Macaca mulatta: one gene and its partners. The protein of the gene in region 3 purifies or fractionates together with the protein of the main gene of each other region. This does not show direct contact. Links are inferred from orthologs where the notes say so. Each region holds a gene or a part of one and is shown on either strand. Other genes may lie near its edges. The genes, in order: PRMT5, PATL1 and LSM4.

Evidence for each region.
Region 1: the proteins of LSM4 (region 3) and PRMT5 purify together in Homo sapiens (co-immunoprecipitation; 3 studies listed by BioGRID and IntAct, with this or other methods). This does not show direct contact. The link is inferred for Macaca mulatta from reciprocal best matches to the Homo sapiens genes LSM4 and PRMT5.
Region 2: the proteins of LSM4 (region 3) and PATL1 purify together in Homo sapiens (co-immunoprecipitation; 4 studies listed by BioGRID and IntAct, with this or other methods). This does not show direct contact. The link is inferred for Macaca mulatta from reciprocal best matches to the Homo sapiens genes LSM4 and PATL1.

What each region holds. Positions count from the first base shown.
Region 1 is NC_133412.1:96,003,517-96,006,805, reverse strand, and holds the end of PRMT5 (protein arginine N-methyltransferase 5), read left to right. Parts: exon of another isoform or gene 1-123; coding exon 124-233; exon of another isoform or gene 234-313; intron 314-390; exon of another isoform or gene 391-443; coding exon 444-537; intron 538-719; coding exon 720-836; intron 837-1,038; coding exon 1,039-1,103; intron 1,104-2,168; exon of another isoform or gene 2,169-2,233; coding exon 2,234-2,386; 3' UTR 2,387-2,758; downstream 2,759-3,289. UniProt on the Homo sapiens protein: Arginine methyltransferase that can both catalyze the formation of omega-N monomethylarginine (MMA) and symmetrical dimethylarginine (sDMA), with a preference for the formation of MMA.
Region 2 is NC_133419.1:14,182,194-14,185,841, reverse strand, and holds part of PATL1 (protein PAT1 homolog 1), read right to left. Parts: intron 3,490-3,648; coding exon 3,272-3,489; intron 1,905-3,271; coding exon 1,815-1,904; intron 858-1,814; coding exon 677-857; intron 427-676; coding exon 303-426; intron 1-302. UniProt on the Homo sapiens protein: RNA-binding protein involved in deadenylation-dependent decapping of mRNAs, leading to the degradation of mRNAs. Acts as a scaffold protein that connects deadenylation and decapping machinery.
Region 3 is NC_133424.1:18,849,819-18,854,183, forward strand, and holds the start of LSM4 (U6 snRNA-associated Sm-like protein LSm4), read right to left. Parts: upstream 2,945-4,365; 5' UTR 2,839-2,944; coding exon 2,836-2,838; intron 1-2,835. UniProt on the Homo sapiens protein: Plays a role in pre-mRNA splicing as component of the U4/U6-U5 tri-snRNP complex that is involved in spliceosome assembly, and as component of the precatalytic spliceosome (spliceosome B complex).

The DNA of each region.
Region 1 (3,289 bases), on a different chromosome or scaffold from region 3:
TTCCATGCCCATGCCAACGTTGGTTGGTTTTGACATGGGAGGTTTGATCCTTCTGATCCTTCAGTTAGTACAGACACACCATTTCCCTCCCTCTGGAACTAATTTGACTCTCCTGCTGTGCAGATGACGGTGTGAGCATCCCCGGAGAATATACTTCCTTCCTGGCTCCCATCTCCTCCTCCAAGCTGTACAATGAAGTCCGGGCCTGTAGGGAGAAGGACCGTGACCCTGAGGTAAAAAAACACTCTCTGGAAAGAAGTGGTACTCTTCAGTCCTCTTCTTTTTCTGTATTTGCATCAGCTATTTTCTTCTGCTGGGGATGAAGAGGCGAAGAAGTTAGGGATTGGGGAAGCACTAAAGTAAAACTTTTTTTAATCCTTGGGGAAGTAGGTATCTCCTGTCTGTCTTCCCCAACACTCTCTCTCTCTCCTTGTCTCTGACAGGCCCAGTTCGAGATGCCTTATGTGGTACGGCTGCACAACTTCCACCAGCTCTCTGCGCCCCAGCCCTGTTTCACCTTCAGCCATCCCAACAGAGGTAGATTCTTTTATGACTGTCCTCTGACTAGAGGGGTGTGGGCTTCTTCCTTCCTCCTGCTTTCTTCCCTTGCTGTCCCTAGTCTGCCTTATCTACTCTTCCCTTCCTGGGTCTTGCTCATGGTTTACCAGGTTGTCTAGAGCTTCTGGCCCCTTGTCATCCACATGATTATTTCCTGACAGATCCTATGATTGACAACAACCGCTATTGCACCTTGGAGTTTCCCGTGGAGGTGAACACAGTACTGCATGGCTTTGCAGGCTACTTTGAGACTGTGCTTTATCAGGACATCACTCTGAGTGAGTGTCTATGGCAGTGGATGGCAGAGTATGAGGGTGTGCTGCCTGGGCAGCTTATATGTACATGTGTCATTTAGATTTATGGGGGGCCCAGTACTCAATGAATGGAGATCTTTGTGTGATTAGAGAAGAGACCCTCTTCAACATAGGCTAAAGGCACAGCCATGGAGACTTCTGTTTTTTCATTATTTTGTCCACACAGGTATCCGTCCAGAGACTCACTCTCCTGGGATGTTCTCATGGTTTCCCATCCTCTTCCCTATTAAGGTAGGAACTGCTTTTAAGACTCTGTAGGTTAAGGAGTAACTTTTGCCTTTGGTGTTGTGCCTCTTTCCTTCTCCCAGGAAGATAGTTGACTATATGACTCATATTCTCCTGATTTCATATGCTCTTGGATCCCAGTGGTAGGTGTTGGGAGTATTTGGAGTGGCCTTCTGCCTGGCTTTCCCGCATCTATTCTGGCTACCCTTCTGTCCTCTACTTTGAGCAAGAGCCATCTTTTAAACACTCAAATTTGATCTTATCTCTCTCTTTCTCTCTTTTTTTTTTAAAGAGACAGTCTCGCTCTGTCACCCAGGCTGGAGTGCAGTGGTGCAATTTCGGCTCACTGCAAGCTCCGCCTCTCCAGTTCATGCCATTCTCCTGCCTCAGGCTCCCTAGTACTTGGGACTACAGGTGCCAGCCACCATGCCTGGCTAATGTTTGTGTTTTTAGTAGAGATGGGGTTTTACCGTGTTAGCCAGGATGGTCTGGATCTCCCGACCTCATGATCCACCCGCCTCAGCCTCCCAAAGTGCTGGGATTACAGGCGTGAGCCACCGCGCCTGGCCTGATCTTACCTCTTTTTTGCTTAAAACCTTTCAATGCCTTCCCGTTGTCTTTAGGATAAAAGTCAAAATCTGGAACATTGCTTGTAAGACTTGATGTGATCTAGTGTTTGCTTGCCTTTGCAGCTCCTGTCCCCTTGCTTACACTGCTTCAGCCTTATGGACCTTCTTTTGGTTCTAATTGTCGATCTTCTTTCCTACCTCAGGCTTTCATGCCTCTCTTTTGCCTGCAGAGCTCTTTGCTTGTCTCTTCACACCGTTAACCTATCTTCTAGGTCTCCTTTAAACATTTCTATTGTGAGATAAACTTTCTCTGACCTCCTAGACTAGGTTAGTGTTCCCTTTCATAGTTGTTTTTCTAGCACTCTGTACATGTTCACAGCACTCACCACACTTTTGATTATTTGTTCAGTGTCTTATTGTTCAGCGTTCTGATAGGCTTCAAATAACTTTCATGAGGGTTGGGACAGTCTTGTCATGTTTATCATTTTATCTCCACACCTACCTTAATACACTGCCATTTATAATTCATTAGCTCTACCCTGAACCTCCCTGTCTTTCTTCTTACAGCAGCCCATAACGGTACGTGAAGGCCAAACCATCTGTGTGCGTTTCTGGCGATGCAGCAATTCCAAGAAGGTGTGGTATGAGTGGGCTGTGACAGCACCAGTCTGTTCTGCTATTCACAACCCCACAGGCCGCTCATATACCATTGGCCTCTAGCCCTGCGTGCAAGTGTCCAGAGCCTTGGAAGCAGCTTCATGTTCTGCTCCTGTAGTACAGAAGGTGCAGTACATCTATGGGCTGTGATTCCCCTTGCCCATCAGAGAGGAGCATTTCAATCTGCTTTCCTGCCTTACATCAAGGTGGGCAAGGGATTATAATTAATTGCAGGGCTCAAGCCACCAATCTGTGAAGACCTCAGGCCAGGGGGTGAGGAATTAGTGCTGGATTCGAAGCTACGCACTCAGCCTCAAGAGCTCCCTGGAATATCCCTGAGAACATGGGGTTTGGACAGATGTTCAGCCCTTCTCTGTTCTTGTTTTGATGGTTTCGTGTAAGAGGAAATACAAATAAAGTTATAGCCCTTTCCTGCACTACCCTGCCGCCCCTGCCGCTGTTTTCCCACACCTCACTTAGACCCAGGCATGTTCAGATCTGTCCTCATACCTTATCCAAGACCTAAAGGGGCCTAGTTGTATTCCCTACTTAGGAAGCTGAGCAATGACTGTTGTACTCCTGGATATAGGCCTTTCTGACCAGTTACAGTGAGCTCTTGTCCATTAGAACCTGTAGTTAGGCTTTTCTCTGGGGAGGAGGCATAGAGTTTGCCACCTTGGGAAAAGATGGAATAGTGAGTGAAGCCAGTTTCTCTTCCTGTATTCTTGAGCTACTGCACTGGCAACTGGTTACCTCTCCTTTGTTACCTCTTGGGAAGGCTGGAATCCATCCAGGAATCTCCAGCAAGAAGCTACCTATTTTTTTGAATAAAACCACAGGTGTACAGTTTGAAGTCCCTAAGAGGTCATCTAGTCCAATTTTCCATTTTACAGAGGGGGAATTTGAAATGGGTGCAATGATGTGATATTAGTATCCAAGTCAGAATTGGAAGTCAGCCTCCGACTC
Region 2 (3,648 bases), on a different chromosome or scaffold from region 3:
TTACAATAATTATCACAATAAAAAATCTAAAGTATTTCCCCCTTATTTTAGGGGTACTGAAAATTAGAATACATTTAAAAAATCATGAAATCTCAAGTAGAAAAGGACCTGAAAAGGCACATGTCAACGCGTTCAGTCCAGGCTCGAATAAAGGCTGAGTTTTGCATTTATTAAGGACAATGGTACTTTAAAATCACTTTGAAATGTCTTTACATATCCGTCCACATATACACTTGTCTATATTTAATCAGCGGCTTCTCAAATTTCTTTTATTATGGGCATTTTTCTTATGAGGACCTTACCTGGCTTATAGGCGTGCTCCAGTTTGGCCACCTGAGGGGTGATAAGCTTGGTGCGTTCCTTCTTAGGGCCATCACCTTGTATTTCTTCAGCAGCTGACAGTTTCTCCAGTTTTTCAAAGTAATTCTACCATGAGAGGATGATTTCGGTTGTAACATAAGCACAGAACACGACTGTTGTTTACCATCAAATAATTTATGCCAGTGACAGTAACACAAGTTCAGTTCTAGAAATGTACTGATAGTGAGTAGTGCAAGAGGCTAAGTATCTCAAAAGAAAATTTTACAAATATTTAATTGTACCAATATTTAAATGAATACCCTTACCAGTGTAGAGGACCAAACTATTATCCTCAAAACTAGCACAGAGTATTTACCTGGTAATAAAAATCATCCAGGTAGGGATCAGTGCTTTGAAGTTGCATCATCTGGATTTTGGAGACCCAATCCTTTTCCCGCTGCAACATGAGATTGGCATATGGATCCTTTCGGAGATGATCTTGATGACTGCTCCGGTGACTTCCTCTATCTCCTGCACCATTGAGATTCCGATGCTGACTGAAAAACATACACCACATTCACTCCAAGTGGGCAAATTAATTACGCTTTTTAACACAGAGGAATAAATGAGGCCAGTTTTTTTTTTTTTTTTTTAAAGATTCCCCTTGCTTTTCTTAAAAGGGAAGTGAAAAAGAACTAAGTTTTAATAGAATTTAAGAGGAAAGAGCTATGTAATAAATAATCAAGAAATAAAACTAAGATCTGAGTACCTTTCCATATGCTAAGCATATTCACCTATGGACTTTTGTATAAGCTCTAGAATAACTCTGTGAGGTAGGTAGTTTTCTCTTCCCCACTTAAGACAACAAACCGACGCCAAAGAGAGATCAAGTAACTTGTCCAAAGCCATACATCTAGTGGTGGACTAAGGGATTTTGACACAGGCGATTTAGCTCTGAAGTATACATAAATATTTTAAACTCATTAAAAATCACGAAATATTTCAAATTCAGAGAAAAAGCCCAGCAAATACTATAATAAATACCCATTTACCCATCACCTAGACCTAATAGAAAAAAATGTATTTGGTTGAATTTGCTTCAAATATTTTAAAGTAATATTAAAATAACACAGTGTTACACTGACAGAGGCCCTGTTGTACCCCTCTAGACCCAGTTTCCAGCTTCTCTTCCTTCATAGAGGAACCACTATCATGCCTTGGTATGTATCCTCCCTGAAATGTTTTTGTACGTTTATTACTTGTGTGTCTGTGTTTAAATATTACACAGTATTATTCTGTGTGCCTTTTAGTTTTACATAAATGGTACATGTAATTCCGTTCCTTGCTTCTTTACTCAATATTATGCTTTTCATATTTACATGTTGATAATACATTCAGGTTTACGGATACGAAGTAAACTTACAAAAAAAACAAACAACTAAATAGCATGTTGTTACACTGTCAAAATTAAAAGCTGAATTAAGAAGCCATAAAGGAGTTGGATGAGTACTTACTTTCTATTCTGTTGCTGTCTCTGATACAAGAGTCGACGGTGCTGTGGATGAAGGTGAGTTGTGTCCGGTCTAAACACTGGGGCCTGAGATCTAAGAAAAATGGAACAGAGGTTCTCAGTTTGGTCATCCTGATGATTTGAAATTTTAAAGAATGTTGTCAGTACAGGATAACTTCATACAGGTTAACTTAAGGGACTACAAAAGTCTATTCGGGCTGGGTGCAGTGTGTAATCCCAGCACTTTGGGAGGCCAAGGCGGGTGGAACACTTGAGGTCAGGAGCTCGAGACCAGCCTGGCCAACATGGTGAAACCCTGTCTTTATTAAAAATACAAAAATTAGCTGGGTGTGGTAGCAGGCGCCTGCAGTTCCAGCTACTTGGAAGGCTGAGGCAGTAGAATCGCTTGAGCCTAGGTGGCAGAGTCTGCAGTGAGCCGATATCGTGTGGGTCACTGCACTCCAGCCTGGGAGGCAGAGTGAGACTCTGTCTCAAAAAAATAAAAAAATAAAAAAGTCCATTCTAAGGAGACCTTTTAGAAGCAAAAGATAGTCATATTTTTACATATCTTCCACAAAGACCAAGTTCTAAAAGGGTGATCATGAAATCTGAGTGAATTAGGAGTAAAGCAGTATAATTCTTTTTCTTTTTGCTTTTAACTGTTTAACAGAAGTCTCTAAGTAGGTTTAACATACTCAGTTTCAACTATGTGGGAATATTATTAAAGATATATGTGTGATAGTTAATATGACTAGGCCTTAGTACCCAGTTATTTGGTCAAACACTGCTTAGATGTTGCTGTGAGGGTATTTTGTAAAGATGTGATTAACATTTATAACAAACTAAAGTTTCCCAGAAGAAGGAATTCTGCCTCAAGAGTGGAACACAGAAATCCTGCTTGAGTGTCTTGACTGCTGACCTGCTATACTTATTTCAAACTCAAGACTGCAACTTGAGCTTTTAAAAACTGTTTCTTGCCTGCTGGTCTGTCTTACGGATTTCGAACTTGTCAGTCTCTACAATCACATGAGCCGATTTCTTAAAATAAAACTTGCTCACATGAACATTCTTGCTCTCTTTCCTCTACTGGTTCTCGGGTGTCTCTTGAAAATCCTGACTGCCACAATACGATATGTAATAAAACACAACTTCACCGAAACAGGAACTTGAACCCCTTTTGTTATAAAACCAGAGGATAAAAGCAAACAACTTAGCTAGTGTGAAGATTAGCTGACTTTTCAGCATCTGTTGCTCTATTCCATACCTTCTGGTAATGTGAGAAAAATGTGATTCACAAGAAAGCCTGGAGATTGTCAAACATTTCCATGTTTGTCAACCTGAGGATCCAATAACATCTTAAAATTTATTAGTTAGCAAATATCAAGAGACTTATAAAACTACACATCCACAATCAAGAGACTTGGCTGATAATTGATAAATAGTGGCATTGATTTTGTATACCTTAGGTTTTGCAGGTGGGGTCCTGGGCCAGGAGGGTGCTGCTGTGGAGGTGGTGTAGCGGAGGGTGGAGCACTAAAGAAGGCACGGAAGCCTGGTGCTGGGGGAAGCATCTGCCCAACTCGCCCTTGTAGCAACTTGGGATTCATGGCAGCAAGTGGACTACCAACAAATCCAGGCACCCGTGCAAACTGGCTGGGAGACATCCGTCCAGGCTGTAGCTACAAAGAGGAAGATCTTAGATTTAGACAATTAGCAAGTCCCTTTGCTTTTGTCTACAGAAAGGTGAATACTGTTTCCATCAATAACTTTGTTTGAAAAAGTAAAGGCAAAAATAAGAGTAGTGATTAACAGCAAAAAAGGGGCTACCATCTAATGAA
Region 3 (4,365 bases):
GAAGGAGTGACCGCCGGACAGGGAGTTGCCTGACTCCCGGGTCCTCCAAGGCTGCAATGGCCTGGGGCTGTGACCATATATCTTGATTTCTCCTATATCCTCATCTCCAAACTCTGTTGGAGAAAGAGGTCAGAGGAAGGGGTGGATCCTCAAAATCTTAAAAGAAGATACATCAAAGTGCCAGGTGAGGCTTGGCACAGTGGCTTGCGCCTATAATCACAGCACTTTGGGAGGCTGAGGTGGGAGGATCACTTGAGCCCAGGAGTATGAGACCAGCTTGGGCAACACAGCAAGATTCTGTCTCTACAAAAAATGTAAGAATTAGACAGGTTTAGTGACGCATGTGGTCCCAGCTACTTGGGAGGCTGAGGTGGGAGGATCACTTGGGCCGGTGAGGTTGAGGCTGCAGTGATTGTGCCATTGCACTCCAGCCTGGACGACAGTGAGAGCTCAGTTCCAAAAAAGAAAAAAAAGTACAGAGTGCAGTGGCTCACACCTGTAATACCAGCACTTTGACACACCGAGGTGGGTGGATCACCTGAGGTCAGGGGTTCAAGACTAGCCTAGCCAACATGGTGAAACCCCATCTCTACTGAAAATACACAAATTATCCAGGCGTGGTGGCGCATGCCTGTGATCCCAAGCTACTTGGGAGGCTGAGGCAGGAAAATCACTCTCTCCGAGAGGTGGAGGTTTAGTGGGCTTTCTTGCAGCATCTGGAATCTGGTTCTCAGGTCTAGATCCACAAAGACCTAATCCAGTGCCTCCTAATTCAGGAAGCTGTCCAGGACTGCCCATCCCCGCTCCTAACCCAGGCCACTCCTTCTGGCCCTGCCCTGATCACAGGGAACTGGAAGTGTGTATCCCATGATGCCTTGTCCATTCTTGGCCACTCCTCCAGGAAATGGCTGGATAGCCAGGACTCTGGATGTTCAGAAGGTGGGAAGGGGCTGAATGAATGAGTTCACACTTTGCCCAGGCACCGTTCTACACACTGGGAATATAGTTGGAAGAAAAAAAAAGATTCTGCTTCCACAAAACTTAACACGGGTGGATCCTTCCAGCTCTGCCCAGTCTTGCATGCCAACTCTGCCCTCTAAGTACATGGCAGAGGGACAGGCTCTCTAAATCCTTGCTCTTGAAACCGCCTTTGCAAAAATTGTAACTGAGGAAATTATGACAGCGAAAAGAGATCAGACCTAACCGACTCCATCGTGCTTCTAACCTTTAAGCTGTTCTTGTTTATTCCTGGGCATAGGCCGAACTAACCTTGGGAAGGGATTTAGTGTATAGTTTGAAACAAAATTGGTAATAGCCCTTTCCCGAAAAGACCCTTTTCTTGCCTGGGGACCAGTCTGCCTTTGTAGGACTAACAAATTAGCTGCACGATTAGAAATTATTGTTTACGGGTCATACAGCCTCTGGCTGCAAGAGTCTGAACCTCCCCAAATTGCTCCTAGGGATAACATCACTATTATAAAATCTAAGATCAGTGTTTGAGATATTTTGCAGACCCTGTACTTGGTGGATCAGCTGACACCACCCAGACCAGTAATTTGGCTCAACCAGTCCTGCAATCCCACCCAGGAACAGAAGACAGCAAGAAAATCTCACTTCAACCCCCGCCCCCGCCCCCCCCCCCCCCCCCCCCCCGCCAATGACTCCATCTCCAACCTCAGGAAGCTCCAACCAATCAGCACTCCCCACTTCCTGAGCTCCTACCCGCCAAATTATCTTTAAAAACTCGGATCCCCTAATGCTCAGGGGAGACTGATTTCAGCAGTAATAAAACTCCAGTCTCCTGCATAGCTGGCTCTGTGTGAAATACTCTTTCTGTATTGCAATTGCCCTGTCTTGATAAATGGGCTCTGTCTAGGAAGCAGGCAAGGTGAACCCGTTGGGTGGCTACACACTGACCAGCTGGATTTAGGGAGAGCTCTCTCACTAATCCACAGTTCTGATGCAGCCACCCCTGGGGGGCCCTCCTGGTTACTGAATCTCCCACTGTCTCACAGTCTGGAAGTCACATCCCCAACAAGGGCCTTGGTTTCTCTCATTGAAAAAAGAAGGGCCAGATGCTGATGAGCCAGGAAACTCCCAGCTCTGGATTCCTTTTCTGATCTGCACACTGGGAGACACAGGCACTTTCTAGCCCAGATCCAGAACTTACAGAATCATAAACAATGTGGCCCTGCAGAGACCTGGGCTGCAATTTTTCCTTCTGTGTACGGGGAGGATGTACTTTGCCCACCCCTAGCTCAAAACGCTCCCTTCCTCTGGAATGACATGCTTTGTGAACCAAGGAGAAACACCACACCCCAGCACCAGGCCTACTTTTCAGCCAGAAAACAAGAGGCCTAGGAGGCTCTGCTGCTAGCATTTTAAGCATCTTACAAGCTCTGAAATTCCTAAAACCAAGTTTCACAACTCAGACTGGCCCCCTACTTCCCAGCACTCTAGGTTTCAATCTGGGAGGTCAGACTGGGTCCGAAGCGTAAGGGACCCCCTTCCCTGCCCAAAAACTCTCTGTTGCATTTGGCAGATCCCCACTTTTTTAACCTCAGTTTCCCAACCTGCAAAATGGGAAAACTAAGTAAGGCGAGGCCACTGTACTGTGGATACGAGTACGTGCAACCCTAAATCCCAGACACGAACGTGGTAGAACCACCTGCAGTCTCCAGCATCAGTTTCCCGGCCTTGTGCCGGGGGACGGGACTCAAGGCTCGGACCGTACGTTCGCCCCGCGCCAACCCAGCCCTCAGCGCCCGCCCGCAGGGCTCCTAACGACTGCGGTTCCCGCCTCCCGGTGAGACCCCGCCGTTGCTCTGCCCTCACCATGGTGCCGGCGGGGACCGGGCTCGCCGGCCACTTCCGCCGCCGCCGCTGCACACGCTCCCGGCGGTCTTCGCCACGCCGCGCCGCGCGCCACTGGGCTGAAAGAAAGTGGCAGAGACGCGAGCCAGTCAGCACCGGGCTAGAAGGGCGGTTAACCAATCCACGCGGAGTGGGGCGGGGCCCGCTAGGCGAAAGGGGCGGGCCGGGCCGTGTTCCCGCCAGAGGAACGAGGAAGAGAGCCGTAAAGTGCCGCGGCTTGTAATACAAAAGGGGGCGGAGCAACGCGCGCCGGGGCGGGGTGCATTGTGGGTAAACGCGTGCGCAGGTGAAACCTTCGTCGGTCTTCTGGGCTCCACGCTGTGGGCAAAGCCAGTAACTGCCTTTGCAGTTGAGGGAGAGAAATCCAGGCTTCGTGGTGATTGGGACGTCCCTGGTGTCGCCCTTCGGACTCCTAGTTTTCTGATTCTGTAATTATCCAGGGAACATCATTTAGTAGGTTGGAATCCTGACCACGACCCTCGGGGCCTCAGTTTTCTCCCTGTAAATAGTAGTGTCTGCTCCAAAACGTTACTTACTATGAGGATGAAATGAATGAAACCGTGTAAAAGCACTTAAAACAGCGTCTGGCATATATTAAGTACTTAATACCTATTCTGTGCCTGCTTCTGCTCATAGAAATGAACAGTACACAAAATTCGTGGCCCTTAGGGAGACAGACAGTAAACAAAGTAAATAGGCGAATGCTATTAGTTCCCTGGGGCCTGCTGTAACAAATGCCCACACACTGGGAGGCTTAAAACAACAGAACGTGATTTTCTCATAATTCAGGAGACCAGAATAATGAAATGAGGTTGTCAGTAGGGTTGGCTCCCTCTGGAGGCTCTGAGGACAATCTGCGTGTCCTATGCTTCTCTCCTGGGTTCTGGTGGCTGCTGGGAAACCTCGGAGTTCTTGGCTTGTAGATGCAGCCTTCCGCGTTCTGCCTCTGTCGTCACTTGGCCTTCTCTGTGTGTCTCTGAGTCTCAAACGACTCTCTCCTTTTTTTTTTCTTTTTTTGTAGAGACAGGGTCTCCCTATGTTGTCCAGGCTGGTCTCGAACTCTTGGGGTCAAGCAATCCTCCCTCCTCTGCCTCCCAAAGTGCTGGGATTACAGGCGTGAGCCACCGAGCCCAGCCTCTCCGTTTTCTTATAAGGACACGCCTTTCTCTTATTAAGCCCACCATAAATTCAGGATAATGTCATCGCAAGATCCTTAATTACATCTGCAAAGACCCTATTTTTTTTTTTTTTTTTTTTTGAAATGGAGTCTCATTCTATCACCCAGACTACAGTGCAGTGGTGGGATCTCAGCTCACTGCAATCCCTCCGTCCTGGGTTTAAGGGATTCTCCTGCCTCAGCCACCAGAGTGGCTAGGATTACAGGCACACGCCACAATGCCCAGCTAATTTTTGTATTTTTAGTAGAGACGGGGTTTCACCATGTTGGCCAGGCTGGCCTCGAACTCCTGACCTCAGGTGATCTACCCACCT